Rhinolophus ferrumequinum: one gene and its partners. The protein of the gene in region 3 purifies or fractionates together with the protein of the main gene of each other region. This does not show direct contact. Links are inferred from orthologs where the notes say so. Each region holds a gene or a part of one and is shown on either strand. Other genes may lie near its edges.

Region 1 (7,428 bases), on a different chromosome or scaffold from region 3:
GTTAACCTCCCTGTGCTTCGGATTCCTCTTATCTAAAGTGGTCCCCTCCTCTGGACTTCTTTGGCAGACCAGAAATTCATTCCAACCAAAAAGTACTCACCTCCCTTCCGTGTTGCTAAGCCAAACGTATTTACAAAACCTAAATGAAGAGGTTCCTAAACTAGTTCACCTTTTCATTCATTAAACAAATATTTACTGAACATCTACTAAGGGCACTTAGAAAATGAAAATACAACGAAGTTCTCTTCTAATTTGCAATCACCTGGGTAGGTGTCTATGTCTATCTTTTCCACATTGTGAGTTCCTCAAAGAGAAATGATGTGTAGCAAAAAAGAAAACGGGTTTGGAGCCAGGCAGGATTCACTGAATCCCAAATCTGCCACCTCTACCAGCAATCTTAGAGAAGTTACTTAAATCGGGAGCCTCAGGTTCCTTTCATGTGTAATATAAAGTAAATAATGTCTATCATTCAGGACTGTTGTGAGGATTTCAGTGAGTTACGTTTTAAGTGCCTGGATATGGTAGATGCTCAGTTCACTTGACTGCACGGACAGACCCATCAATAAAAGGGGACTACCGATGTCATGCTTATTTCATCTATTTGCTGAGATTGATCAATCTGAAACTTCAGTATTAAATGCAATAGAAAAGTTTAGTTAAAACCCATCAACGTGTACAAGTAGAGATACAGTGTGTACAAAAGCAGCAAAGAACAGTCTTGTTAATACTTTCACCACTCCAACAACACTCTCAGAAACTGATAGGATTCCGGCTGTCAGATTGAATTCTGAATCTGAGTAGACCCAAGAAATACAGTCTGGCTTTATGAAACCCTGAGAAATCAAACCTAACTTTGACTTTGTCTTAAGGCCTCAGGGACACTGAACCAACATTAACCTGCTGGTTATCTAAGCCTCAAGCTGCTCTCTTAAGATTGGGATCCAACAGATGGACACGGACTTTGGAGAAGCAGAAATTATTTCCCTTTTTCTTCTCCCTTCCTTGATATTTGATTTAGTAAAACAGTCCTATGGGAGTCACAAAGGGATAATCCAAAAAAATATTACTCCTGAGTACCTTTCTTTGTTAAAGCTCCTTTGATAAAGTAATACAATATTATATGTCAATTGTAACTCAGTAAAACTGGAGGAAAAAAATCCAGACTGTGGGAAAAAATAACTACGTTAAGGGACACTGAAATTAAGATCCAAAGCATTAGCTAAAGGAAACAGGATAAAATATAATACTCTCATTTTATATGTATAGGTACAGATATCGACTACATATATGTTCAATTACCTTAGCCACTTCCAGAAGCTCTATTGCCTACACAAAAAAGTGACCAATTTAACTGTACAAGAGAGAACAATACTCTTACTTACATACTTACATACAGAAGAGAAAAATCAATCTACAATCCCAAATGTGACTCCAAAACTTCAGGGGGAAATAATAATCAAAACATCTAAAAATATACTGTGAATAATAATATATATTCTCTCTCATTTCCTAAAACTTCAGATAAGAAATCGTCATTTCTGGAAGTACCACAGTGTAATGTCAACCGAACCCAAGATCCCTTGTTCGTGCATAAGGACTTCTCAAAGCCAACAGGCTTCACTCTGCTGTAGACCCCAAATGAACAGCTTCCTAGAGTACTATCTTTTCATTCATTCAACTAGTATTTACTAAGCAACTACTAAGGGCGAGGCAATGAGTACCAACCATGTTCAAGGACACATTGTATATTGGACAGGCCTGATAAGCTCCTTGCCCCAGTGCTATGGTCTTCAATAGGGAAATACAGAACTGAAAAGGGTGTTACGGAAACTTGGGGGCAGAAGGAGTATTTCTAGCTGTGTGCTTCATTTCACCGTGTAAAGGAGTCAGTCCTAAGTATTTACATAAAGGGGAAGTTAAAAAACATTTGTTATAATCAAGGGGTTAAGTCACAACTTTCAATACCATCGACTCGGTGGAACTTAAATCCCAAAGGAAGGAGAAACAGAATGAAATGAAAAAAATAAAAAGTGGTACGAAGAAAATAAAGATGACATGAAGTGGGGTGATCTAATACACATGGGGCTCTCAGGGAAGGCCTCACTGAGAAACCCTCAAGTACAAGTGAACGTTAACTCTTTTACTCCTACTATACATAACTAAAACTACTATATCGTAAAACCAGTCAATTTTTAACGCGAGTTCCCATCAATACTGTAATTCCTTACATTAACCTATTACCTTCCGAGTACAATCGTCCATGTTCCTTCTCTAGCAAATCAACAACAGGTAGTAAGACCTTAGTTACCTCACTTGACTTGGAAGACTAGTCTCTAAACAAAACGAAGCTGCTTTTACACACTGGTTCAAGCTGTTTTTAACAATCATTGTTCACACACCTAATAGGGCAGCTAACAAAAGAGATTCACACCCTCCGGGCTGCTGAGCTCGACTGTTCGTGTTCGGGGAACAGGGGCTTCGCCCGGGATGCTTGAGCGCCAAAGAGCAGGGCCCTGAGGGTTCGGGGGAGACCCCCGCGCCCGCGGGCCCCGAGAGCTGACCGCGGGGGCGTGGCGAGCCCGGCGCCTGCCTTTGTTGTCCCTCGTGGCGCGCGGGGGGGAGGGGCAGCCCGAGGTCCGCGAGGCCAGTAGCCGCCCCCGGCCTCCGTCGCGTGGCCTCCCGGCTCCCACGGGCGCGCGAACCCACCTTCTTGTAGTGCTTGCCCAGCCAGACCCGCACCGAATCCAGCTGGGACACCGTCTCCGGGCTTTCCCAAAACTTGCTGGCCGGGCCCCCGTCCTTCCGCCGATAAACCGCCAGGCCCGCAGCCGCCGCCGCGCCTCCCGCACCAGCGGCTCCTGCCGCTGCCCCCGGCCCGCCGCCGCCCGCTGCCGCGGCCATCGTCGCCGTCCGTCGTGCCCACAGCCCGGCCCGCCCCGGCCCTCGCGGCGTTCCCCGTTCGCACCCGCGCGCGCGCGTAGCCGCCACCGCCGCCTCCCGGCCCCGCCCAGCCAACCCCCTTCCGGTGCGGATGGCTCGCCCCGCCCTTTTTCGGACCGGCGCCCTAACTGACGTCTGCACGCGCATACGCATGCGCAGCATTCGCGCCAGGGGCCTTCGGGTTCGGACCTCCTCCGACTTCTTCCGCCAGTCTATGCTGGCTGCTCTCGTCTGCTCCCCAGTCTCGGCCCCTGCGCGACTAGATCTTTCGTGATTCCTTTGTCGGATCCTTATTCGGTCAGCAACTGCGTGAAGGTTCTGTGTCATCGTTTGCCACCGCCGGAGAGGAAAGGGCTGGTGTGAGAAGTTTCGAAGGGAAAGCCCATTCAGGGTATCGCATGCTGGCGGAGGAACCCACTCGCAGGAATACGTACCTGCACCAGCTGTGGCTCTCAGACCCTCTACACACTTAAGTTGCCGCGTCAGCCTTTGCACACAACCAGCCCAGGGGACGACCACCAGGGGCTCTTTGGGTGCCTGCCACACCAGTTTATTCCTGCCTCTTGCACCAGCTGTTCCCACGACCAGCAGCTCTTCCTGCGACCTGCGACATTTCCCCTCTCATTGTCACTTAGGCGCTTTCAAATTCATAGCGTAAAGATACTTCAGAAAAGCGATCCCTGACCATACACTTGAACAACTCATCATACTCAATTGACATTCTCTGCGTAGCAGTCACCGCCACTTGGTATTTTTCTTAATAATCGTCTACATAAATTATAGGAAAATCTAGTCTTGACTTGGGAACAGAGCCTGTTATCTAATAAATATTGTTCAATGAATATTTGATGAATGCATTAATGATCTACAGAGAGAGGTGGAAAGGTTTTACATTATTAACAAAGTATGATTGGCCATTATGGATTTATGAACGTAACACTATATGACCCTACAAACCCTACAACAGAAGGTGACTGAGAAAGCCTGGTGAGTTTTTGAGACCAACTTTTTTTTGGGGGGGGGGAATATTGGAGAACAGTTTCTCCAGGTCCCATCAGCTCGAAGTCGTCGTCCTTCAATCTAGTTGTGGAGGGCAATCTAGTTGTGGAGGACACATCTCAGCTCTTAAGTCCAGTTGCCATTTTCAATCTTTAGTTGCAGAAGGCACAGCCCACTGTCCCATGTGGGAATTGAACCCGCCACCTCATCATTGAGAGCCTGCGCTCTAACCAGCTGAGCCAACTGAGCCATCTGGCGGCCCCTCCAGAAACTCAGCAGCAGCTGTTGTCTTCAATCTAGTTGTTGACGGCACAGCTCACTGGTCCATGTGGGAATCGAACCGGGCACCATTATTCAGAGGTCGTGCTCTAACCAACTGAGCCATCTGGCTGCCCGAGACCAACTTTTAAGAATGAATAGAATGTGATGGGAACATTTCAGATGCATGGAAACAACTAGAACAAAGCCATTAAAGTGTGAAAGCATGCTTGGTGGAACTCTCCTTAAACATGGGATGGAAACAGAGATTTCGCTTGTTGCAGTGAATTTTGACTTTATCCTGTAAAAATTGGGAAACCAACTTGAACAGAGAATGACATGATCAGATTTACAGATTAGGAAGATAACAATTGCAACAGTGAATGATAGATCAGAGGAAAAAACACTGGAGAAAAGATGACCTGATAAATAGTCTAGGAATGAGAAGCAATGAGATTAACATATGAGTAAGACATGGATCATGCCCTCTAAGGGCTCAGACTTTAGAAATGATCATAGCTGGGGTTTACGGTGCATTTCTGTGTGGTGCTTTGTGCTAAGTACACCTGCATTCCCACAGATTAGGATATTGAGGCAGAGAGAGGTTAAGTACCTGGCTAACAAGTACATATTAGAGTCAGGTTTTTGAACCCAGGAATTACACCCTGGAGTACTACTTCCCTCTCTTTTCAAGCACAATGTGTTTTCTAGTAATAGCATGTGAGTACAGCAGAGAAAACGCATTGGAGTAGTTCTGAAAGCTCTTTCATTTGCTGGAGTCATAGGGAAGTTGGTTCTTCCAGGGCAGTGGTTCTTCCAACTTCATGCTCAAATAACTTCTAAAATAATTTGGAAAACCATACACCTTTTATATTAGAAAAATATCTAAAAATTTTCATCAAAAATTAAATCATTGAAGAGCACATTATAAAAATGGACATTTTAAATAAAATGGTTACATCATTTTTTAAAAGTTTTTATTTTTAAATCTCAAACTTACAAAAAGTTGCAAGTATAGTACAAAGAACTTTTTCTGTTCTTGAACTATGACAGTATATTGCTAATATCATGCCCATCACTCAAGTTTCCTACAGACAAGTATATTCTTTTACAAAATAATCACAGTAACATTAAAACTGTCCTCAGACCCCATTCAAGTTTTTCTTGTTGCTCCTAGAACCTCCTTTGCAGCAAAGATTCCAGATCAGAATCATGCATTGCATTAGGTCAAGTTTCAAGTCTCTTTCCATCTGGACTGGTCCCTAGGCTTTAACTTTCACAGCATTGACAACTTTGAAGATTACAAGCCAGTTATTTTGTAGAATGTTCCTCAGTTTGAGTTTGGCTGATATTCTTCATACTGTGTTCTTTTCATTTCATACAATCAAGTGGCTCATGATTTTTTTTTTTAATTTTTTAATTAAAGTTTATTGGGGTGACAATTGTTAGTAAAGTTACATAGATTTCAGGTGTACAATTCTGAATTACATCATCTATAAATCCCATTGTGTGTTCACCAATCAGAGTCAGTTCTCCTTCCATCCCCATATATTTGTATGATTTCATTTCTTCCATTACTCTGATGACTTGGTTAAGAGAGTAATTGCCAGGCTTCTCTACTGTGAAGTTATCATTTATGCCTCTGTAATTAATTGGTATTTTCTGGGGAGGTATTTTGAAAGTATGTAAATATCCCATTCCTCCTTTAAATTTCCATTTATTTTTATCAGACAAACCCAAATGGCTCCAAATTTGACTAAATGCAAACTTAACTAAATGTAACTTCCTTCTCTAACAATGAAAAATCTGGCTGCTATTATCCTTACTATATTTACTTATTATTAACAGTTCACCTATTGTAACGGATCTACATGCTGGGCTACCCTCCCAGGTAGGGACTGGCTCCTACACGGGAATGCTAACCCATCCTAATATGCTTACATCTACCTTGCTCTACTCTACCTAGTGGCTTTAAGACTGAGTTATTTGAGAAGAGATAGTCGGGGAATAGCAAAAGCAAGAAGACGTCCCTCTAAAACCTACTGAAGTCTAAATATGTAATAATTTGTTGGCCATGATAAAATACACCTTATCTCTTAGCCACAATAAAATACATTCTATCTCTTAGCATAGGAGTGCAATACCATCAAAATTACTGTCCAAGTACAAACTGTACAAAGTAAACTTAATAATCAATGGGGAAAATTACAATTATTCCATGGCCTTTAAATTTTTTTAATCAAAACATTAAAAACCCAATCGGTTATCATTATATAAGGAAATGGACACAGTAAAATTAAATTTATTTAGTACATTATAATTTAAAGCATTAGAAAATTGAGAATTAATGTGGGTATATTTTGGTGAAAAAATTAACAATAGTTTGAATGTCTCATTATATAACTTACGAGCAAGGCTTTTTTGGTTTGGGCTTGTCAAATTCTCATACCCCTTTCTAAATTTGGATCAGCTTCCAACATTTTGTACTTTGCACTTGTAATGTGAATCTTTTTACAGGTATCATCTCCTCTGAGATGTCTTCATCACTTTTTTTCACAGTTTCCTCATTTATGTGGATGTTTGGCTTCACTAAGTTCCTCTGGCTGTGTATCTTGAGTCTCTCAAAGAATAATCAGTGTCAACATTCCTATGGTCAGCTGTTTCTTCTCTAATACTATTTCCATTTGATTTGAATTTCACTTCATAGCAATAGAATAAAACACAGAAATCACGACCATCTCAATAGCTGCAGGGAAAAAAACACAAAAAAAAGTTTGACAAAATCCAATACTTTTCATGATAAAAACACAACAAATTTGAAATAGAAAGGAACTTCCTCAACCTGACATTGAGAACTCCTGGGCATCAATGAAAACTCCATCACTAATATCATGCTTAATGGTGAAAGACTGAATGCTTTTCCCCTAACATTAGGAACAAAGGTATCTGCTCTTACCACTTCTATCCAGCAGTGTACTGGAGGTTCTAGGCAGGGCAAGTAGGAAAAAATAAATAAAAAAATAAAAGGCATTCAAAGTGGAATGTAAGACGTAAAATGACCTCTATTTGCAGATGACATGACCTTTATATGTAAAATCCTAAGCAAGCCACTAAAAAATCCCATTAAAACTAATAAATGAGTTCAACAAGGTTGGAAGATAAAAGATCAGTATACAAATACAGGCACACTTCAGAGATATTGCAGGTTCAGTTCTAGAACGCTGCAATAAA
Region 2 (7,097 bases), on a different chromosome or scaffold from region 3:
TTTACTCCTGAGGAAGCTAAGGGACAGGGAGGAACAGCGACTTGCCCAAGGTCACACAACTATTTTGGTGTCCTATTTTTCCTTTGTTTTTTACTTCTTTCTATCATACGTGTTTCTCTTGTGTGTTTGCAAAACTGACACAGAAAGGCGAAGTCTCACAGAGGAATAGACAGCCCCCTCCATAGTAGCAGAGGGTCCTGGACCCAGAAACATTCTCCCACAAAGAGGAAGAGACCCGGTGCTGCTCTGGCCTGGGAAGTAGTGAGGGGTGGGGTGGAGGAAGTCCGTGCCACCAAGCCTCTGGTCTGTTCTGCCAATGTCCTTTCTGCTGGCTGGAGGAAGCCCCTCACTAGAGGTGGGGGTTAAGGGACAGACTCCCCTCCAGTCATCTCTGGGCGCTGGGCCTGGCCCCATTGGCTAGCCAGGGTTCCCTGGTGTCCCAGGACTTAGGCTGGGGCAGAGCCGCCTCTGGGCCCCCTGGCTTGCCCTGGGGTTTAGTGATCAGAGGGGAAAATGGGGGCTGGCTTTAGGGATGGGCCAGATCACTGAAATCAGGGGTCCTTAGCCTGAGAGCTTCCCTCTCTCTCTCTTTCTCTCTCTCTCTCTCTCTCTCAACACACAAACACACACGCCAATCCACGAAGGTAATTCCGTTTCGCCAAGGAAAGCTTTCTTGCTGGGAATAGAGGAAAAACCGGGCAGTGCAGAGGTCTCTCCCTTCAGCTGGCTTTCCTTTGTTCCTCCCCTGCCTTCCTCCCTCTCCCCTTCCCAGCTTCCCTCTCTCCTCCTAGCTTCCTTCTTCCATTCTCTCCTCTTACTCCCCTCCTGCTCCTCCCCCGAGCAGGGTCCCCGCAATAGGACTTCCACAGAAGGTGGGGAGGGTGGGACTCCGGGTTCCGGCCCCAGCCTCGGTGACCATCTTCCCGCAGGGAAGGAGTTAAGTCTCCTCGCTGCATCCCTCCCTCCTCCGCCTCCCCCTGCCACTCCGAGTCCTGCAGCTAGGCCCTGGGCTGACCTTCACCGGGAGGGAGGCCGCAGTGCGCATGCCCGGCCCGGTTACTGCCCGGCTCCCACCGCTGCCGGGGCCCGGGCGGCCGGGCGAGGGAGGGCGGTCGCGGGCCGGGACGTGCCCCCGGCGCTCGGCGCGGTGGGGGGGCTGCCGAGCCTGTCCCGCCGGCCGCGGCGCATCTCTCCCTGCGCGGGGAGCGGCGCTTTGCCATTTGGTGCCGGTGGTGCTTCGGCGAGGGAAGGAGAGATGGGGGGACGGCAGGGGGGACTCCGGCTCCGGGCGCCTGGCGGCCGCCCTCCACCCAGACACGCACATGGCCTGGCCAGAGCGCGCCCTGGGCCGGGTCGGCCGAGGCTAAGGGGACTGGGACTAAGGCCCCCTGCCCGCTGGAATGGGGCATACCCGGGGCCTCCTTCCCACCCGGCAGGAGCCGGTGGCGGGGCACTGCTGAGCGCCCGCCGTATGGGAGCTGAGCCGTTGGGGATCCTGGCCTTTGTGAGGTGGGAGTCCTGGCCGGGCACCCACACTCCCGCCTCTGCTTTCTAGCCCGAAGGCTCCCCCGTGACCACACCCCTGAGGTCGCCCCTGTAAAGTCGGCATGCAAACGGGACTGCGGGCGGGTGCCTTGTGAGTCTGGCCTTATGAGTGGGATGTGGAGTTGGTTAAAGTGTGCCCGTGAGTGCCGAGCCGGGTGGCTCCTGTCCCCTGGTGTTTGCATTGGGGGGAGGGGGCGGGGCATGTATGCATTAGGTGCTGCATAAGGATGTCTCCCAGGGGGGTGGCTGCAGGGGAGGCCCTGGTCCTGGGGGGGTCTCAGGAGGGGGTTATCTATGGACTTGAGTGATTCTCACCAGCTCCTGGTTTCACCATAGCCCTTGGTCTACACCCCTCCTGCAAACTCTACCACCAGCACCACCTCCCTCACAAACGCTGGGAGGGTTCCACCCTCAAACTTACCAGCTACCCAAGCTGGGGTGCCCATCTGTCTCCTCTGCTGTCTTCTTTTTCCAAAAGGCCTATCCAAGAGTTGAGAACTCTGTGCTTCACACAAAGCTAGGGGAGTGTACCCCTGCCCCAGCCCTCTAGAACCTCCAAGGCCTGTAGTTTCACAGGGCCATATGAGAAGCACCCACAGGGGGTGGGGGTGCCGTGGTGACTCCCACCTTCAGGTAAGTGGCAGACTATGAGCTCCATCCACTGGCCCACTGAGCTGTGGGCGGTTGCAAGTATTAGCAGACCTTTGGTCATGTGGACTCCCTGTGTCCAGGCATGAGGGGGGAGTGGGATGTAAAGGCCACTCAGGGGGCCACAGCCGATTTGGGAAACCAGACCTACCACACCTGAAGCACAAAGCATATCAGACATGAGTCAGCCCAGTGCCAATTTATGGCTCAGGATAGGTGGCAGTCGGCATTCAGATAAGAGAAAGATCTGTGCACACAAGTGGGACCAGGGAAGGCTTTCTGGAGGAGGCCTGAGCTGGGTTTTAAAGGATGAATATGATCTGGGCAGGTAGATGGGCAGTAGAGGGCATTCCAGGCAAAAGAATATCTGGAGCAGAGGCTTAGAAATGGGAATAAGTGAGGAGTTTTGTTTTGGAGATTAGTGGACAGACTGGAGAGATTACCTCCCCAGGTTGCCAGCAATCACAGCCACCGTCATGGCTTATGCCAACCACCCAACCATCCTCAGTGCCACTCCAGTGCCCAGCCTTTGTGTGTGTGGGTCTGGGCTAAGGCCCAGGTAGAAATTTGGTAGAAAGGGGATCTCTAGGTCCCCTGCTAAGGGAGCAGGAGGGAGGTAGAGGAGGGGCACCCTGGACCACATGCCCCCTCTGGCCTTTCAGAAGATTCACTGAGGGCCCTTACATGGCCAGGGAGCACACCAGGGCTCAAGGGAAACCGGGCTGCAGGCAGAATGGCCTCCCCAGGCAGAACACTGCCTCAATTCTTTGTCCTGACCTCTGAAGGCATTTTGAAGGGTTGAGGGCAAGGACCCCCAGGGCAATGCTGGGTCTTTCAGGCCTAACCTCAAATAAGTTTTCCTACAAATTACCCCTGGCATTGCCCCACCACCACCACCTGGATTCTGACAGTGCAGCCCCAGGAGGCCTATAAGCTTGACCCACGGTTGTCCCCAAAGGAGGACAGAGGGGTGTGGTCTTTAGGGGCATGGGCAGGTCCAGGGCTCCAAGCTTGGGGATCTCAGGACTTGCTCCTCCTGTTTCCTGTCTTTCCTTCACCCTGGGCTGCCAGCTACCTCCACATCGCGTTTCTGAGGCTCCCTCACACCTCCTCCCCTACCCCAGTGCTCTTTGGGGTCTTGAGGCTGGCCCCACTATCCCCAGGAGCCCCAGCTCCTCTAGGTCTCCCACCCCACACCCTATTCCAAGGCCATCAGGCCCTGCTTGCCTCATTCTGTCCACCCATCCACCGAAGCACCCACCCCAGCTCCTTGCCTTCCCCCACATTTTTCTCTTCCTGTTCTCATGAGCCTGATCCACCTCCCTCTTTCCAAAGTACATCCCCTATTGCCCTCACTTTCTCACATAGAGACAAAGACTCACAGACCCAGAAATAGACTCACACGGAGCTGGAAGACACGCACCCACACGCGCGCACCCGAGGCTCCCGTGGAGGGAGGCACACAGAGAAGGCGTTTGTCTGTGCACGCACGTAAACATCCACACCCACAGCCACCGCCGTGCCCACACAAGGATGGAGACACACTCGGCCGGCGAGACAAGGGCGCACACATCTGTGAACGCAGGGGGACACCGCCTCCCCGGCACACCCACCACTGCCGCCGGTGGGAGGAAGGCCTCGTCCCAGCTCCGGCTCCCCCCATTCCTTCCAGCGAATGTTTCCCTACTTGGCCTGCCAGGTCTCTGGGGAAAGGGCCTCAGAAATGCAGCAGGAGCCACTTGGGGCAAAGTTGGAACTGACTGTTCCCTGCCTGGCCCTGCCGGCGGATTCCCTAACCGAGAAACTATTTGTGGCAAGAGCCGGGTGGCCGGCGAGCCCCCTGCCACCTCCCCTCGCGTCCCCTCCCCGCACCGCCTCCCGCGGCCCTCGGGCGGCCTCGGCTGCAGTGCCGCTGCCCAGCGCCCAGGAGCCGGCTTGCCGGCGTGCCTTGCGGCTTATCTGCGCTGTTTGGACAGCGAGGGTTGGAAAGGCAGGCTTTTTTGTCCCCGCCGAGTCAACAGGCAGACCCCGGGCCGCCGGACTATTTCTGTCTTATCAGTGCAGGAATGCGGCAGCCGCGGCGGCGGCGGCGGCGTGGGCCGTGGGCCGTCGGGGCAGCCCTGACGGGGCCCCCTCCCCACTCCGCTCGAGTAGAAGTGTGAGAGAGCCCAGCAGGACTCAGAGGGGAGAGTTGGAGGAAAAAAAAAGGCAGAAAAGGGAAAGAAAGAGGAAGAGAGAGAGAGAGTGAGAGGAGCCGCTGAGCCCACCCCGATGGCCGCGGACGAAGTTGCCGGAGGGGCGCGCAAAGCCACGAAAAGCAAACTTTTTGAGTTTCTGGTCCATGGGGTGGTGAGTGGGGGAAAGTTAGCGGGGGAGGGTGAGCGAGCTGGCTCGGGCTGAATGGAGGGATGATTGGGAGGGGCCGGGAGGGGGCTCGCTAGCCAGGGCACCACGTCCCGCGGCCCAGCCCCAGGACTGTGCCGGCGCCCTGGCCCCCGAACACGTCGTCAGGCGGCCGGCAGGAGATGGGTGCCCTGGCAGGGAAGGGAGGCGTTCGCATGGGTTCTTGTCAGGGGCTGTGGGTGGGACTTGGGGACTGTCCCCCCCAAGTGGGGGGGTCCCATCTGTACCAGTCGTATTTTCCTCGGTTCTTTCCCTTGTGGGCCCAGGTGTTGACCCTGCCATGGGGGTGGGGGTGGGGGACATGGCATGGGCTGGGCTGTCTGTTCATCGTTGGGAGAGTGTCTCTCTCTGTGTCTCAGGAGCAAGGAGCAGGTGACCCCTGGAGGGCTGAGAGCAGGAAGCTCTCTGGCTGAACAACCTCTACATCCAGTCAGGAAGGCTCGGGGGCTTTGCTGATGGCCTCTGACATCAGGGTCAGAGAGAGGCTCTCTGTAGGGACAGACCCCAAAGTAAGAGGTCTGAGGATCCCCTTGGCGGACTCAGCCACCAAAACCGCTGTCCTTAATACCTCAAAGGTGTGAAGGAAGGGCTGGAGTCAGGGACGCGAGGCCTAGAGACCGAAGGGGAAGGACAGCACTGTCCAGGACTTGCTGAGGGTCTGGGAGGCAGCTGGGCCAGGTTGGAGGGGAGTGGGAGAAGCAGGGACGCTAGGACTTGGGATGGGTGCTGGGGTTGGCATAGTGGAAGCAGTCAGGTTTCCTCTGGCCAAATTTGGTTGTGACCCCAAGGAAGGCACATTCTCGGTGAGGGAGGCCAGAATCCCTTGCATCCTGGCCCTTCATTGGGGGTGGCCCTGGTAGCTGCCACAGCTCCCTGGGGCCTCTTCAGCAGATCCACCAGTATCGCTGGCCTTGATATATCATACAGCAGCTGATAAGGAAAATGGGCTTATTTGGGGTGGCCTGTCCTCCAGCCCGGAGGATCTTTGGAGTAATTTCCCAGGGGTGTCTGTGTTGGTCAGCCGAGTGACCAGTCCTAACTTTGCTGCTTGGGTGGGATTCCCTTTAAAAAGGCCCATCTAGGAAGGAGAGATGCTGTACATATGAATTTTTTATTTGGCCAACTTAGAGCTTCAATTCTTGGGTGGCTGTGGGCCTCACTGCCCACTCCCAGGGCCCCATCTATGCCAGTGGGGAATGATGGGACCTGAGCTCCATTCTGGGCCACCATCCTAGAGGTGTGAGTGACAGGGTCAGGTGGGCGGGGGGTGGAAGACACATGGACAGGCAAGTTTCACTGTGGGAGAGATGGACAGAGACAGCTGGCTGGCTGGGGGTTAGGGTTAGACAAACTGTAAGGCGGGAGGGAGAGTTGGCAGATAGAAGGCATTCACCGGGCTCAGGGTCAGGGCTCCTCATGTCTGGGGGCAGCTGCAATCCTAGGGGTAAAGGGGTAGTGTTTAAATGATAATGGGGACACAGGGTCTGCATCCCTTGCTCCCTAATCTCCTTCCTGCTGTCCCTGCCCCAGACCCCATCTTACCCACCCTCCACTTTAGAGCCACTCAGGTCCTCTCCTATCCCTTCTTCTAGAATTTGGACAAGTGGGGTTTAAAAAGTCTGTGGAACACCTCACTTGATGAATTTGCATCTCATCTGCATCCCCTCTGAGCACCTGGGTAGTGTCAAGGGAATACACCTGCCTCATCTCCTCTCCATGACCCCCTTTGAACCCTGACTGGTGACCTCATTGGGGTGAGGTGGGAAGTAGAGGAGGTCTGTGGATGGGACCATCTCTGGTGAACCAGGTGGACAGCAGGAAGGGAGAGATGGATCTAAGAGGAAATGCAGCTGCTTTTGACCTACCCAAGCCCTCTGGGCAGTTCACCTCCAGGTGGCTCCTCCCCCCGCCCCCCCCCCGCCCCTCCTCCCAATCAGAGAGTCTTGGTGGGGTTTGACCTCAGCCCCTCAGGTTGTCTCCAGCCCCACCTCTAGCCTCTACCTTGGGAGCAAATTATGGGAGTGAGCCGAGTCAGAGAAGCCCCTGGTTCTGGGGGCTTGGAATCAGCCAAAGCCAGTAGGGGTGGGGGCTGAGAGTTCAAAAGTAGGCGCCCAGAGAGAAGCGTGGGGTGCGATGGGGAGGGAGAATGCAAGGCAGGGCGGCCCAGGAAGTGGATTGGGAAGCAGGGAATGGGAAGAGGAGCGCAGGAGTCCCAGCTGGGAGCTCAGCCCCAACCTAGGGGAAGTAGCAGACAGCAGAAAGCCCTGGCTTCTCAGGAACCAGCCGCTCAGGGCTGCCTTTGCCAGGAGCTGCGTGACCTTGGCTAGGTCGCTTTTCTCCTTGAGCCACGGTTGCCTCATCTGTCAAGTGGGATGGAAGGACCTGCTTAATCTGTCTTGCAGAGGAGCGTGTGAATGTGCACATCCTTTGAAAAGGTTGAAAGGAGCCATTAATATTCATTTTCGCGGTACCTTCCGCAAATCCGACGCTGGCAATGCCCT
Region 3 (7,819 bases):
ATTCTTAGAATTCTACATCTGCTGATATCCCCATTTTTCAAGCATGAGAGATACATCTGTTTCCTGTACCTTGTTTTGTTAAAAACCAAGCACCAACGTATGGGAGAATGGCAAATAAAGATAGGAGGCTTAATATTATCACCTCAAGAGTCTGGATATTTAAAAACTAGGATGTAATCTAATAGATAAAAACCCTCAAGGGTTTATTCCCTTTTATACTAAAAATGCTGCGTCTCCATGTTTTTGACAGTTTTGATGTTTTCCCCCCAGAGTAAATGGCTTTCAAGTGTAAGGGTGATGTGATTTTTCTGGGAAAGCACAAAGCAATGGTGGCAATCTGCTAACCTGATCTTAAAGCATTCCAGTACAATACTGGAGGCTGCAGTAATGATTTTGGGAAGAGGTAGGGAGATAGTTTTATTTTTATTTTTTGTATAGTGTCTCCCAATTCATGAGGAAGATGATTTGAAGAAATTTTAAGGTTAGAGATTTAGGGGTGCAGAAATGATGAAACTAACAATTTATCAAAGTTGGGTGGGTAGCGTACCTGTTTATCGTGCAAAGGAGTCTGAAGTAGAGGAGAAGCATTAAAGATGATTGGAAGAGCAATGAGTAGGCCCAGAAACCAGTTAGAAAGTACAGAAATCTGGATGAATTATGCATTATACCTCGAGCTAAAGATCAGTGTCTGATCTGGTCAGAAATAATTATAGGAAAAAGACAGCCGTAAATTTCAAAATTTTAAAACTAAAATTTAAACTCATTTAATAAGTACACAAGTTAACAATACGCTTTACAAAGTTAATTACAAAATTTAGGTGGGAGGTTTGGTTGCTTTCCACAGTAAACCCTTTGGAAAATGTGACCGACTATAAATAATTGTCATACATACAGTGATAGCACAAACACAAAATCATATATTTACTTTTGTGAGTTTAAACTATTTCATATGTGAAATAAGCTTTAAGACTTATTCCTTTACATAAGCAATTGAGAAAGAGGATATTAATTCTGAATACCTGAATCATACATGAATATGCTGTGGTTATATACTTGAAAAATGACTTATGGAAAAATAACCAAAAATCTTTTTTAAATGGTAAAGATTTTTACTGAAATGCCTTTTCTTCATTCTAAAGATTCTTGTTCTTTGGGCTTATTAATCTTTTCTGTACCTCATTTTCTCATTCAATAAAATGGGAATAGTAGTACCATCTCCTATAGTTGTTGTGGATTAACTGAGTTAATCCAAGTATGCAATGCAATGCATTAAAAGCCTCTGTAACAGTTCCTGGTACACAGTATGCATTCAACAAATATTAGCTGCTGGCGTTACTAGTATCCATTTCTACCTTCGTCATATTAAATAATGCCTTGCAAGGAAATACTCAGTGCAAAGCCTCTGGGTCCTTGGATCTGTGAACCTGAAAGTCAAAATAGAGTCAACAGCCTCCAGGAGGCAAAGGACACAGATCCGGTTTTCCTGTCAGGACTCCATCTTCAGATGGGGAAGAGGTAAATCAATAAGACCTACTAGGCTTTCTCCAAAGTAAAATGGGAATATGTACTCTCATGTTTGAGAAATCAAAACGAAGAACATAAACGGGTATAAAGGGAATGAGGGTCAGTCTACCGTCTCAGAAGAGACTCAAGCTACATTCCAAAAACTAGGAATTTTGAAGACTTTATTTCTTACCAATAGAATGCCATCCTTTTCAGAAACAGCATCCTTACTAGACACAATAACAGGATTTGTCTCCTGTTCTCTAACGCATCAAACACGAACACAAAATATAAATCATCTACATCTGTGTTTCATCTAGGTAATCTGTAAAAACGGAGGCTCCGATTCAGTAGTCTTACAGTGGGGCTTGAGATTCTGCAATTCCAAAAGATTGCTGGGGATGCTGAACTCTTGATTCATGGACCTCACTTTGAGGAGCAAGTGTACTATTATCTCATTTAACCTTCACAAGCACACACTGGGTGGGAATTATCATTCCACAAATGAGGAGCCTGAAGTTGAGAAAACTTAAAGTCACCTGCCCAAGGCCAAAGCGCTAAACGAATGGTGAGGCTGGTATTACAACCCAGGTCTGTGTGACTCCCAGGCCCCTGGTAATCTTTCTACTACACCGCAGCCTACCCAAGGAAAGCATTCTTAAATTACCTGTATTCCCAAATTCATCCCGGACACGCGCACGAGGAACTTGGACAATCCAGTCAACAAAACGCAGGAGTGTTTGAAAGGCGTGAGGCAGCAGGAGCGCTGAGCGCGGACCGAGAGCAGGCTGCGTCCTGAGTGGCCGCCACTCTTCCAATCACTTCTACCTATCGCGCTCGCTTTGCCATCTACCGGGCGTTGCGGAAACCCCCCCGCAAACTGCAGAGACTTCCCAAGTTTAAACACACGCGCGCACACCCCGACATGCAGAGTTACGGAGACACTGGGAGACATGCGACCCTGGGACAGGTCACTCAAGCCGAGGCTCAGTGGGCCGGCCCCCAGGACGCAGCTGCCGTCCCATCCCCGCGGCCGGCGCGCATCCCCCAAACCCGCTCCTCCGAGGACCGAGGCTGGAAGGGACCGCAGGATGCGGTGACTCCAGGAGACCGAGGCGTTCAGTGAGCCGGGTGGGCGCCGAGGGCGGCGAGAAAGCCGGGCGGGGATGGGGAGGGAAGGCCGGACTCCCGAGAACTGAGGACCGGAAGAGACCACCGTGGAGGGGTGAAGCGGAGAGGGCTGGGGACGGCGGTTGTAAACCCCGCACGCTAAAACGGCTTGCTCTTTAGTCTGGCTGTACTCACCTCCCCCGTACACGCCGCCGCTCATGGCTGCTGTAGGCGCGACTCCTACGATGAAAACTACCCAGAGACGTGCCTGCAAAGGCCGTGACTGCAGGTGTTGAGAAGCGCTAGCCTCCTGACCCCCTTAACTTCTACTATCGTAGACCCCCTCAGGCAACAAAGCGGCATCAACACACCGCGTAGCGCAGTCACACTTGCTGTCTGCTTTTATCAGCCAATCGCGAGAGGCCCGCAACCCTTCAGCCAATCAGAACTCGGGTCTGGGGCATGTCTGCCGCGGCTCAGCCAGTTTAGCCAATAGAAGGCAGCCAAGAGGTAGGAGAGGGGAAAGCAACGGAAGAAGGGAAGGAGGTGGGAAGCTGAGTTGAAGGAGGCGGAGCTACCCGAGTAGGCGGGAGATTGGGGCGGTGGGAGCTGTACACCTAAGAGGAAAGTGTCGGGGGCGGGTCCAGGAGTGTCGCTGGGAGCGGAGGAGCGGTGGGATACCGCTATAGCGAACAGGATAAACCTCTGGAAATTGCCTGGAAATTGAAAGTGTCTCCACGCGTTGATTCCCGGTTTGGGAGCGTGGTGAATGCAGAATTTTTTTTTTTTTTTGTGGTTCAGAAAAAGTATTTTCAACTGAGTTTTATGTTGAAAAATAAAAATGTTATGCTTCATTTGGGGTAGGAAATCAGTAAATCAGACAATGATGAGATCCTGTAACTTTTTAAAATGGTATTAATAATTAAAACGTAAAAGAGATGATTGATATACTATCCTAACCAAATTTAGGTAGCACTTTCAAAATTATTTTTGAAGTGTCATCAATCTCTTTTATCCTGTAAAACAGTTACAAAACATTGTAATGAATCCTTATTCAAGTGAGAACCTAATCCTAAATACATCTCCAATATGTCTACTATTCTTAGTCCTCTGTTTCTGCCAGCCAGGTCAAGATCTCCATTGTTTCTTCCAGGGATTACTGCAACAACGTGTCACTTTGGTGCTTGGCCTCATTCTAGGCCGCTTGAACTATAAAAACACCCAATTCGGTTCACGTCACTCCAGCTCAACCCCTCAAATCAGTTGTATATCCTTGCAGTTGCTAGCAGTTAAGTTGGTTTGTCTAGAGTTTAGACATGTAGGAGCTGCTTTTAACCTTAAACACAATTGAATAAAGCCCCATCGGTCTCGGTGACAGCAGCGTGGCAGAAAGTGATTGACAGTAGGGCGGAGAAGAAAGCTAGTGAGAAAGCTCTTTCCCATTTACTTGACAGTGTAGTCTCCATATATACCTGGTCATTCAGGAAACCCCTACTAACCCAATGAGATGATACAGAAGTCAGCAAACTATAGGCTCACGGCCAAATACAATCTGCTTTCTGTTTTTGTATGGCCTGTCAGCTAAGAATAACTATTACATTATCAATTGTTTTTAAAAATATTTTTAAGAATAATATTTTGTGATGTGAAAATTATATGAAATTCACATTTCAGTGACCGTAAACTAAGTTTCATTGGAACATAGCCACGCTTATTCAATTATGGTTGCTTTTGCTCAGTATGGGCAGAGTTGAGTAGTTAGGACAAAGATTGTGTCACCCACTAAGCTGGAGAACATATTTACTATCACACCCCTTTATAGAGTTCACTGATCCCTGAGATAGCGCATGTAACACATCTAGCACAGTTCCCCTAACTGCTCTATGTTAATTGTTGCTTCCATGATTGAAGCTTCCACTGTAGATGTATACCAAATACCAAAAATGTTTCTATTTCCGCCATACATTTTTTATGTTTTGTTTGACTAATAAAGCTGATGAATTATAATATGTGCTACTGTGGTAATAATTGAACATTGAAGAGACGATATATTTGGTTACACTACACAGCAATCCATTTAAATCAATTTGTCATTTAAATGTATACTTCTTATACAAGTTAAATAGATTTTATATATGTATATACATAGAGTTCATATATGTATATAAATAGATGTTTTTTATATATATACACACACGTATATATGTATCTTTCAGCAATACTATCGCTAACATCTCCTGTGCTGTAGAAATAAAATACTCTGGGCTGAAGAGAGCAAAATATTTGTTCCACTAGTTCAGAGTTCAGCAGAAAACAAAACAGCTCAGCGGGGTTAATGAGGACTGCACCCCTAGCCTTCAGGGAACCTTAAGATGCTGTGATTGACTCCCCCCACAGAGCATATACTGGAGAGCATGGGGAATCTTCAATCTGATAGCACAGAGACAGCTTGAGGAAATACTGGAAAGTCATGCTAAGATGTTTTTACTTAAAGTACGGGTTATGCTTCACTAGTAATTTTGAAAAATAGAAAACAGATCATATGTTCATAACTTCAGGTCAACTTGTCCTCTTGATGTATCATTGGGCACACTTAAGCCCTTCATAAATTTTAATCAGCGAAAAGATGTAACAAGGTACTAATATTATTGGCCCTAAAGTATTGAATTGCTGGGTTAATGAACTATTGAGAAGGGGAAACCTATTCAGCATTCTAAGAAAACATGTCTGTGTACTATGCGCATCCACAGTAACAATGACATTGTTTCCTTAGAGGAAAGACATACAATGGCAGTTCGGTTTTTTTTCATTCTTCATAATTAGAATAACTGGTAGACCAAACATTAAAAGCAGAATCTACTTTATGAAATGTAAAATGTCTCAGGATTTTGTTGTGTTTTTTTTTTGTATTAATATTTCTCCACTGTAGCCTAACATTTTCTCTAAACTCTTGGCTCAGCCTACATTAATGTAACTGAGAGCTAGTCAGATTAAAAAAACAAAAACAAAAGAATTCAAGGTTATTGTTTGTATGTCAATTTTCAAGGGCGTAATTTATCAAAATAATCAAAGCTTGCAATTTCCCCCGCCTGAGCCAGAATATTCCATGTCAACCTGAAAATAAAAGATATTGAAGTAACATGTATGTAAACTTATGTAGCTCACAGTATATGAGTTCTGTGGTTGACTGAATCCAGATATAAAAATAAGTGCCCTTTCAGAAATCCTTTGTGATCTGCAAGCATCAAGAATTTCTTGTGTACCTGAGTGTAATACTTGGTTTTGCCTCACAGGGTCGCTGCTCTTCCATTCCTATAACGCGGCACCAGAATTCCTATGAGGCTACAGTCTCACTCTTTTCATCAGCTCTGTCAAAATTCAGATTGTGGAATCACATTACAGCAGTCATTACAAAATGCTACTGATCTTGTCCTCTGTCTCAGCCTTTATCAAGTTCAGAGTTGAAAAAAACTTATTAATGCAAGCTAGGAAACAAATTCAGACTATCATTTGTTAAGAAGAATGACACAAAAACATATTTATGTTTAGAATTATTTTATTTCATGCTGCAAAATATATGCCATTAGCAATTATGAAAAGCAAATTTCAATGGAAAAATGTTTGTGTGTATATCTGTATGAAGAGTTGTAAGTACCATAATCTGCTATCGAAGTTCCAAAACTGCGTATAACACTCATGTACGCACTACTGAGATAAAGGATGCATACGTATCTGGAGTCTGGAGTTTTTCACCAATAGATACATGATCAGTCAGATTCATACATCTGTTTGTCATTAGAATAGTATGAGATCTGCTAGCCATTTCAAATAATATGAGCTCGATAAAGAAGCAAATGAAATTATATTTGGTCATAGCAGGTACCTTATAACATACCAATAGATTGGTTATAGTACAAATAATGTGAAAAGAAAAAAGAGATCAAGTGCTAGATGCTCTATGGATTTTACAAGTCTTTATTGTTATTTCATTAACACTTTAAAAATCTCTTTGTTCATTTGACATAGCTCTTGTGAGAAATCACAAAACGAGTGAGAAACATTAACATTTAATCAATTGGTGATGTAAAGTGGCACTGTGCCACCTTGGGTCACTTTATGGTAAGCCCTGGGCTTCCCACTGATCTCGGTCAGTGCCAAAGCCTTGTTATGGGGCTGTTACACAGCCCAGAGAGCAACACTGAGCTGAGTCCCAGTTTCTTGCTCTGTACTGCTTTTTTAGAACCCTTGCAACTGTTTTGGAATTACAAAGATTTCATTCACCATATAATAATGACTACCAATTGCTGACCTCCTAATGTGTGCTATGGTAGAAAATGTGCTTTATATCTAATATTTTCAATGTAATCCCCATGAGGGTTTTACAGAAGAGGCCCAGAGATTCAGCAAATTGCCCAACATCACACAGCTATTGAAAGAGTCCAGACCTGAAACTAGGGCTGTCTCTGACCTTACCAAGCATGCTATTCCTACTCCTAAAATACCTTTTCCTTTCCACTTCCTCTACAGTTCTAATAAACTTTAAAAACAACTATTTTAATTTTTATTATATATACTTTTTAAAATCAAAAGGTACAAAAAGATCAACAGTAGAAAGTCTCCTACTGAGATCCACAGCCACCCTATTCTCCTTATCAGACATAGTGCTATGCTTCTACAAGTCATTATGTAGACATATACCCTCCCCCCAGTTTTCCTCATACAAAGTGATAATTCACAGTATGCCAGTGAGTTTGGAAAAGCACTCTCCTTGGAAACTAATTTTAAGATGTTTATTTTTGAACATTCTTATTTAAAAGTTTTTAGTAGCTAGTCTACACACATGGCTAGAAACTGAAACATCACAAAAGAATGAAAAGCAACTCTCCTTTCCTCTAATCCTTGAAATACCACATGTTGAACCACGGTTACCGGTTTCTTTTGTAACTTTTCAGAGACAGTCTTTTCAAGTAAAACCATATATTAGCATCCCTTCCCTCAACTATTGTTGTTTGTTTATTTATATAAGTCTAGCATACTGAATACATTGTTTACTGAATACATTGTTTTGCACCTGACTTTTTTCACTTAACCATCATATCTTGGAGATCATTCCATGTATTAGGTATAATTCTATCTCTTCATTTTTAACATTAGCACAGAATTCCATTATTTGTGTATGTATACACTACAATTTATTTCACCAGTT
Region 4 (7,558 bases), on a different chromosome or scaffold from region 3:
AACGCTAAGTGCAAACTCACTTGATTTAAAACACACACATTCATATTCATTTTAATTCATTCATTCTCTCTCTTTCTCTCAGAATAATCTGCACATACTGCTAAATTTAACGGCCAGTAGCATCAGGAGGAAGGTAAACAACAAATCAAATCCCAGGACAATATGGTTCTCAATGTGATACCACAATGAGGGCCAAGTTGTGGGAACCAACACAAAGAACCATTGTCTTTTAGCACAGGGCATACAGTGACCCTTTCCTTGCAGTTCCCAACAGGAGCTGTGAGCACCAGTCAGGCTTCCTGCCAACCACACAACACTGTTTGTCCCCAGCAGCTCCCACCCTAGACGCCGACCACAGTGGACCTTGAACTCACATCCTCCAGGAGCCGTCCTTCTACCCGAAGCTCCCAGGAAGCCACCGTCCCTTCCCCATCCTCGGCATCTGACTTAGCCGGATTGAAAGTGTTAGAAATGAAAATTCGCAGCTTCCGTTTTTGCTGAGGAAGGCAGAAACAGGATTGATGGTGGGGCTTCAACGGTTTGATGTTGAAGACAGGGTCTCCCCAAGCCCCAAAATTACTCCTAACAGACTGGCTCACTGTCTACCCAGTCCCTGGGGTGGGTGGATGAAGATTCCATCTAGAAGAGGAATACAGGCCATTGGTCTGAGTGCAAGAGCATACACTGAGATGCCAGGTGGACAAAGTCAAGCAAGGTGCCAGGTTCCCAAGGTGGTAGAGCAGTTATAGCAAAAACACGGACAGGGTAAATTTCTGGTGCAAGCGATATCAAAAGCCCCTCCCCCTTTGCTATTTTGTTCTTATACTTCTAATATAATTCTCAGTTCGTAGGCGGAAGGGAAAGATGTAATTTAAATGCCAAGGAGAACTGTGCTGTGCCTTTGATTGCTCATCCTAAGCCTACTGAACGTTCCCAAGTCCTCTCCTTTGGCTCTCTGCCTAGTGCGCTCCGGCGTTACCTTGATGGGTCGTTTCAAGGCCTCCTGGATATCGAGCCGTTTCCTCATAATAGTCTGGTCCAGTTTCCTTTCAAAAGCCAAGAGATCCATATAGGCCTGGGATTCTGGTACCAGTTCACGAATCTTAGGAACAGAAAGATATCATGGGGATATAGAGCTGGCCATCTCTATTCTCAAACTCACCACACCCTCAGGAAGACCTACAGCTTGGACTCACCCTTTGAGGTAGAATTTTGTCAGCCATCTTCTTTTTCTTTGCACTGTTTCAAAACAAATACTGTTATCAGGTTGGGATGGAACTAGCCAGAACATGAAGACAGGCTGTCAGCACCTCCATTTATAGTAAAGTGAAAGGACTGTAAAGCTTCTCTCAAATCAAAGACATACCCCCAAACCCCCAACCAACATGAGGCATTCTCAAGAATAAGCACCATCGGCTGACACAGCACCACTACTTCTTGGTTCAGATACTCCCACCACCTGAGTTCTCACAGGCTCCCTCCCTCCCTTCCTTCTCTCCTTCCCCTCCTCCCTGGGGTCATCTTACTTGTGGTTTCGATTTTGGACCGCCTGCTGCTGGACCTGCTGGATCTGCTGAGGCGCAGGTCTCTTGCGGGACTGGTCCATCCCTGACTGGGCCAGGCCAGGTCGGACTGAAGGGTTCCCCCCGTAGCCAGGGGGTCCCATGGAAGGTCCCTGAGGTGTCATTCGGCTGCCTGGCAGCATACCTGGTCTCTACAGAGGGGAGAGGACCCAGAGATGTCATGGCTTCCCCTACGAAACCCACCAAGAAAGAAAAAGTGGGGGGATTCTTCAGGTCTTTGAATGAAACAAGGCTGGGGGAGGGGGAGAGGGGCAGTGGAGCACAATGGGAGAAGAGCCCTCTGCCTCTTTGAATTACAGATAACTGGAGCTTCCTCTGCTCCAGTCATGATTCTGTAAGAGAATACAGCCCAAAAGCTAAGAGCCAGATTATACTCAAATTCTCCCTAATCTATTTTGTATCTGACACATTGCACATCTCCTCTATCTCCTCTAGTTCCACATTTACTCAGTACTACCTGGTACTATTTCCTTGAAAGCTGACCTCAATTTGCCAGCTACCTTGTGTGTGTTCCTCTGGGCACTGGAGCTGCCCAAGCCCTTTTGCATTCCAGCCCTCATCAGCCCACCCTCCGCCCCACTTCGTCCTCCATAGTTCTATACCCTGACTCCCCACGGAAACAATGCCCCTAGGAGCAGGTGGGGATGCTAACTGCCTCCCTTCCTTCCTCCTCACTGACTCCCCCACCCCCATTCAGGGCCCGAATCCCTCTCCGGGGAGTCCCTCCTACTCCTCCCCCCACCGCTGTCACTCCCAGGGCCCCGCTCGGCCCCGCCCCCGGCCCGCGCGCCCCTCCTCCCGCCCCACTCACCGGATAGGCCGCTCCGGGCATCGGGGAGCGGTACAGCCCTTGACCCGGCGCCGGGCCCATTCGCACGGGAGGCCCCGGAGTCCCGCCCGGGCCCAAGGCAGCCGCCGCTCCCGCCCCTCCTGAGGCTCCGGCGCCGCCGCTCGGAGCCACAGACTGGAAACCCGCCCGGGCCGCCATCTTCCCCGGAGCCGCTGCTGCAGCTGCACAAAGAACCGGAACCGGAACTCCCCCCGCCCACCTCGGGCCCCCCACGAGCCCGCTAGTCCTCCCGGCCGGCCGGCCGGCACGGGAGACTCAGGGCAGCGAGACTGTGGGCTAGAGGGGGGCGACTAGCGGAAAAGGGTGCTGACCACTCCCTCCCGCCTTCACGGTCCGGGAAGGCAAAACCATAGAGACGAGCTCTGGGATAGAGAGGCCCTGTGAGCGGGCGCCCCCAGGCCGACGGGAGGAACACAGGCCCTGGAAAGGGGTGCCACCGCCACAGACCCAACGTCCTGATGAAGAGGGTGGTGGAATAACTGCTTCATCTTGCGTAGTGCGATCAATTTTCCAAAGCGCTTTGTTTTTCGTTTCCTTCTCTTACTGCTATAAGCCAGGAAGACTGAAGAAAACGTACTGTTTAATCCATTTTACAAATGGGAAAGCTGAACTGAGTAAGTATATGACTTGGCAAAGGTCAACCAACAAGTGAACAGTAAAGTCAAAGCCTAGAATCCAGATCTTCAGGCTCGTAGCCTGGGGCTCATTCCACAGATAAAGTGCCTCAGTAACTAACCTCACGCTAGAACTTCAACCCAACTTTGTCCCTGACTTTTAACCGAACCTGCTTCCAGATTTTAAGTTTATTTTGAATTTTGCCCCTGCCCTCACTCCAAAGAACCCTTTGAGCTAGGACTTCTCTTTGGGATATTTGTTGCCTTTGACCCCTCCCTCTTTCACTGTCCAGTGGTTCAAACCATTCGTGGTGTGATGTCCAGCCTGTCCCATCCCAGGACGACCAGGGTCTCCCTGCTCAAGCCTTACTCCTCCTGTGAATGTTTGGCTCCAAGCCAAGCTCAGCTCTAGGCTCTTAATGGGAACGCCTAAATACTATTCAAATAAGAGAAGAAGGACACTGAAAAGGAGATGGTTGAAATCCAGTTTATTAGACCAGAGGCATGCGTCACCCATAGCCCTGCCTGCTGTTTTCCATCCGGTGCACACCCCTTGGCCTTGCTCTTGCTTTCCTCTGGAGAGGTCTGCTCTCTAAAGAACTCCTAGGAACTAAGAGTTCCCAAAGATCCTAGAGCCTCACTCTCCAGCTCCAGGCCTGCACAGGTGACCTGCCACAGGTCCAGTTCTGGGGTGAGAGACCAAGAAACAGCTGGGCAGAGAAAGCCTGGGAAGGAACAGGGCTCTGGCCTGGGAGAACTGCCTGGTGGAGGGGGCGTGGCAGGCCCTCTATCTCACTCCTTTCTGTTTAAGTTAGGGAGGGACAGAACAGCAGAGCTTTCAACTTCCCCTCTAGGACTGTGTCTTTCCTCCCACTACCAAACCATACCTCACCAAAAAATGTAAGTGATGGGCTTGGGTATCCAGTTAGGAAAGGGGCTGGGCACCCAGGAGGGAAAGGCCACTGACTGAGGACCTCAGCGTCTGCCTGTCAGCGCTTGCTGTTCTACCTGAAGGGGTCACTGGTCCACAGCTCCCTGTGTTTCTGGTACCCCTGGCTTAGTGTGCAGAGCAGGTCTCCATTCCTTGGGTGGGGGCTCTCTCGGTAGCAATCCCTTCCCCCGAGAGGCCACAGTCAGCCACACAAAGGACTTTGGGGTGGATAGAGCAAGAAAGGGGATGTTAAGGCTGCAGGGGGGGCAGAGGGTACCCAGGTTGTGGGGAGAGGGTGAGGCCAGAAAGAGGCAGAGCTTGTGATTCACAGCTTCCTTTATGTCGCCACCGAGACAGTGCGAAGGTTACAATGCGCGTGTCGTCTCCTTGTGCTTCTCAGAGGGATGTGTGTACACAGTACAGACACCAGGGGAGAGAGTCCAACTCTTTATACAGGCGAAGGCATTCATAAACCAGGGAGGGAGCAGAAACACAGGAAGGGTGGAGTGGGAGGATGGTTCTTAGAGACAAGAGGGCATGGAGTAGAGACGGACAGTTAGGGGAAAGTATATACAGAGATATAGCAATATAGAGTCTGTATCATATAGAAATAGAAAATGCAGATGAGGTTGTGGAGAGAAGCAAATGAAGTTGGGGAAGAGGACTTGAGACAGTTCCATAAGAAAATTTATGGATGTGGCCCTCTGCAGGGGCCCCGGGGAGAGGGACCAGTGAGATTAGGCACCAGCGCCCCTCTCCCTGAGCTGGAAGCCAACCAGCTGGATCTTTTAGGGGATGGTAGAGGAGAGATGCCTCTTGGGATTTCTCTCCAGCAGCTCTGGGGTGGTAGATATCAGGATGTGGCCTACAGCACCAGGGCCACACACTGTCCCCATCTCCACTGCTTCAGGGGATCCCCACCCCCACCACCCTAGTGACTTCACATGGTGTGTGTGTGGGGGGGTAGGTACTAGGGTCTTAGTTCCTGCCTGGAGACTTGGGGTTGGGGGGGTAGTCACTGGGCTGAGAGGGTCTCTTAAGGCTGGGGAAGCCCCCCCCACCACCACTATCCCTCCCCTTCATGGTACATTCTCTGGTTTGGGGTCAAATTCCAGACCCAGAGGATCCCCTCCACCCCCCACTGGGAGGGGGCTTTGGTGACTGGTGGCAGCAGAATGTAGGTGGACACTCAGATGACAGACAGCCAGACAGACAGAATTCAGGCTGGGAGCTGAGGGAGGCAGCATAGAGCAGAGAGGGGCAGCCTGAGGTCACTTGCCCAGTTCTCTTTTCAGTTTCTTTTTCAGATTAGTTTTGTTAAAAATAAAAAGAAAGGGATAGAGACAGGGAGAGGACTCTATGGTCAAGCCTCCTTCCTCACCACACACAGGAGGAAAGGACTGCCCAGGAGCGGGGGGGCTGCCTTGGGAAGGAGAGTGGGTCCCCAGGGCAGATGTGGGGGGCAGTTGAGGGCCCCCTTGCTCTCCTTGCCCTCCCCATCTAGGCCTTTGGTACAGTGGCCTGCAGGGCTCAGCAGGTAAAGTCCTCAAAAGTGCCTCGGCCCGGATGGTGAGGTAGGATGTTGGCAGCATACGTCATCCCCGCAGGATGGCCCCGGAGGCTCTCACACGGGTTCTGGGGGAATGGCACAGGACAGGAACTGGTTATGGAAAGGGCCGCAGGTGGCGCTGGGGCACGGGGGAGGGGTGGTCCTGGGGTGGTGGGGTAAGGGGCGGGTCCGGAGGGCACCCCTCACTGGCTCCCTCACGTGTCTTTTGACGTCATCCAGGCTGAGGGCCACGCCCTTGTCCGCGCTGCTCCTTTTGGCCTCCTTCTGGCACTTCCCTCGTCTGCACAGCTTGTGCTTAATGACCTGGGACACGGTGGGGTGGTGGGTGGGTGTGTGGGCAGCCTGGATCCCCGCCCCTTTGGTCCCGCCCCTGCTCACCTCGTAAGCGTAATCAAAGAGCTCCAGCACTGTGAGAATGCTGGCCCCGATGAACAGGCCCATCTGGCCCCCAATGTCACCTGTGTGGAGGGGGCACAGGGAGGTCAGTGGGGTCAAGACACCATGGGAGCTCACTGAAACGGGCAGGCAAGTCATAATTGCAAAATGATCGACAGCTTTTTTATAGAAGGAGTGCAAAGATTCTGAGAGGGGGTTTTATTTTCTTTATGCTTTTCTGCATCTTTTTCTACTTTTCTAAAATGAATAGGTACTATTCAGGAAAAAAATAATTGTTTATAAAATACCCAACACTCTTAATCTCTGGGCAAAATTTAAAGGGCATATGAAATAGTCCCCTGTTCATGCCCACAGGCCTATCTTTTCCACTTTGCCCTAAAAGAAGGCTCAGCCCCTTCCCCCCACCACATAGCAAGACAGCAGAATTTGGGGAAAAGCCCCTGGGGATGGCTGGGGACAGACGTGATCAGCCTGCTTTGGGTGGTAGGGTGTCACACCATGCCCATGACATGGGAAGGGAACAGGTGCCATCAGCAGCTCACCCAGGAGCCCTGCAATCTCATAGGCCTTCTTCTGCTCGATGGTCTCATAGTTGAGGACTTCAAAGAAAATGTCCAGCACCAGGATGTTCTCCCTGCAAAGGGGTTGGGGAAGGAGACCTAGGTTCAAGTCACATCTCTGTCCCTTGCTAGCTAGGTGACCTTGGTAAATTATCCTCTCTGAATCTCTGTCTTCAGATCCATCACATGAGATGCTGATGGGGGTACCTGCCTTCTAGGGTTGTTGTGAAGATTAAATGTGATGGCGGATATGAAAAGATGCTGTGCACACGGGTAAGTGTGAGGTGATCCCAGTTACAGCAAGGAGGATGAAGACAGAGCATGAGGTGAGGAGGAAGAAGAGGCGCATTCCCTGCTTGTTCTGCCTGGGTCTTTCCTCCACGCCCACTTCAGACCCAACTTCCTCCTGTCTGCCAGACCTCATCAAAGCCCACTCACCCTTCGCGGGCCCAGCCCAAGGGCCCTGCCTTGCAGGCAGAGCACTTACCCTATGTACTGCTCAGACTTGTTGAACTTCTTGGCCAGGTACTTGGCTGAGGCTTTGCTGGGGATCTTGACCATGGACAGCTCCTTGCCATAGCGGGTCAGATTGCAGGGCATTTCACACACACAGTACTCCTGGTCCTTCTCCACCAGGAAGTCTGCGCCCAGCCAGGTGACAGGCGCTAGTTGAGTGGTGCCCTTCTGCCAGGCCCCTCTCAGCACCACAGCCTGGCCTTGCCCACAGTAACCCTGCGCTCCCCGCTTTTTTTCTGACCTGTCCTTCACCCCAGCCCGTGCCCAACCTGTGTGGGTCCTCACCCAGCCTCCCCATGGATATTATGTAACCTATATCATTCCCTCAGAGCCCTTGAAGACCAACCAGCTGAGGTGCTGATGCGAGAGGGTGAGGGCCCCTCCCAGGTGACACCTGTGTATTTTCCACCAGGGCATCTAGAGATGCTATTCCCAGCTAAAGTCAGACACGGGAAGTCAGTTGAAACCTGATCCAGGAGTTATGTGAAGCTTCTGGGAGCTTGGTCTGAAACCCCTGTGCATCTGGTTGGCAGCCCCT

Evidence for each region.
Region 1: the proteins of ACTL6A (region 3) and SMARCC1 fractionate together in Homo sapiens (co-fractionation; 8 studies listed by BioGRID and IntAct, with this or other methods). This does not show direct contact. The link is inferred for Rhinolophus ferrumequinum from reciprocal best matches to the Homo sapiens genes ACTL6A and SMARCC1.
Region 2: the proteins of ACTL6A (region 3) and SMARCD3 purify together in Homo sapiens (affinity purification with mass spectrometry; 3 studies listed by BioGRID and IntAct, with this or other methods). This does not show direct contact. The link is inferred for Rhinolophus ferrumequinum from reciprocal best matches to the Homo sapiens genes ACTL6A and SMARCD3.
Region 4: the proteins of ACTL6A (region 3) and SMARCD1 purify together in Homo sapiens (affinity purification with mass spectrometry; 8 studies listed by BioGRID and IntAct, with this or other methods). This does not show direct contact. The link is inferred for Rhinolophus ferrumequinum from reciprocal best matches to the Homo sapiens genes ACTL6A and SMARCD1.

Annotation. Positions count from the first base shown.
Region 1 is NC_046300.1:8,039,028-8,046,455, reverse strand, and holds the start of SMARCC1 (SWI/SNF complex subunit SMARCC1), read right to left. Parts: upstream 3,006-7,428; 5' UTR 2,902-3,005; coding exon 2,707-2,901; intron 1-2,706. UniProt on the Homo sapiens protein: Involved in transcriptional activation and repression of select genes by chromatin remodeling (alteration of DNA-nucleosome topology).
Region 2 is NC_046309.1:3,660,558-3,667,654, forward strand, and holds the start of SMARCD3 (SWI/SNF-related matrix-associated actin-dependent regulator of chromatin subfamily D member 3), read left to right. Parts: upstream 1-4,084; 5' UTR 4,085-4,464; coding exon 4,465-4,542; intron 4,543-7,097. UniProt on the Homo sapiens protein: Involved in transcriptional activation and repression of select genes by chromatin remodeling (alteration of DNA-nucleosome topology).
Region 3 is NC_046285.1:64,535,514-64,543,332, forward strand, and holds the start of ACTL6A (actin-like protein 6A), read right to left. Parts: upstream 3,018-7,819; 5' UTR 2,834-3,017; coding exon 2,809-2,833; intron 1-2,808.
Region 4 is NC_046293.1:50,883,119-50,890,676, reverse strand, and holds the start of SMARCD1 (SWI/SNF-related matrix-associated actin-dependent regulator of chromatin subfamily D member 1), read right to left. Parts: upstream 3,020-7,558; 5' UTR 2,572-3,019; coding exon 2,395-2,571; intron 1,715-2,394; coding exon 1,527-1,714; intron 1,240-1,526; coding exon 1,197-1,239; intron 1,103-1,196; coding exon 980-1,102; intron 498-979; coding exon 375-497; intron 1-374. Other genes in the region: ASIC1 (acid-sensing ion channel 1), read right to left, coding at 5,509-5,613, 5,747-5,851, 5,927-6,006, 6,487-6,578, 6,992-7,145. UniProt on the Homo sapiens protein: Involved in transcriptional activation and repression of select genes by chromatin remodeling (alteration of DNA-nucleosome topology).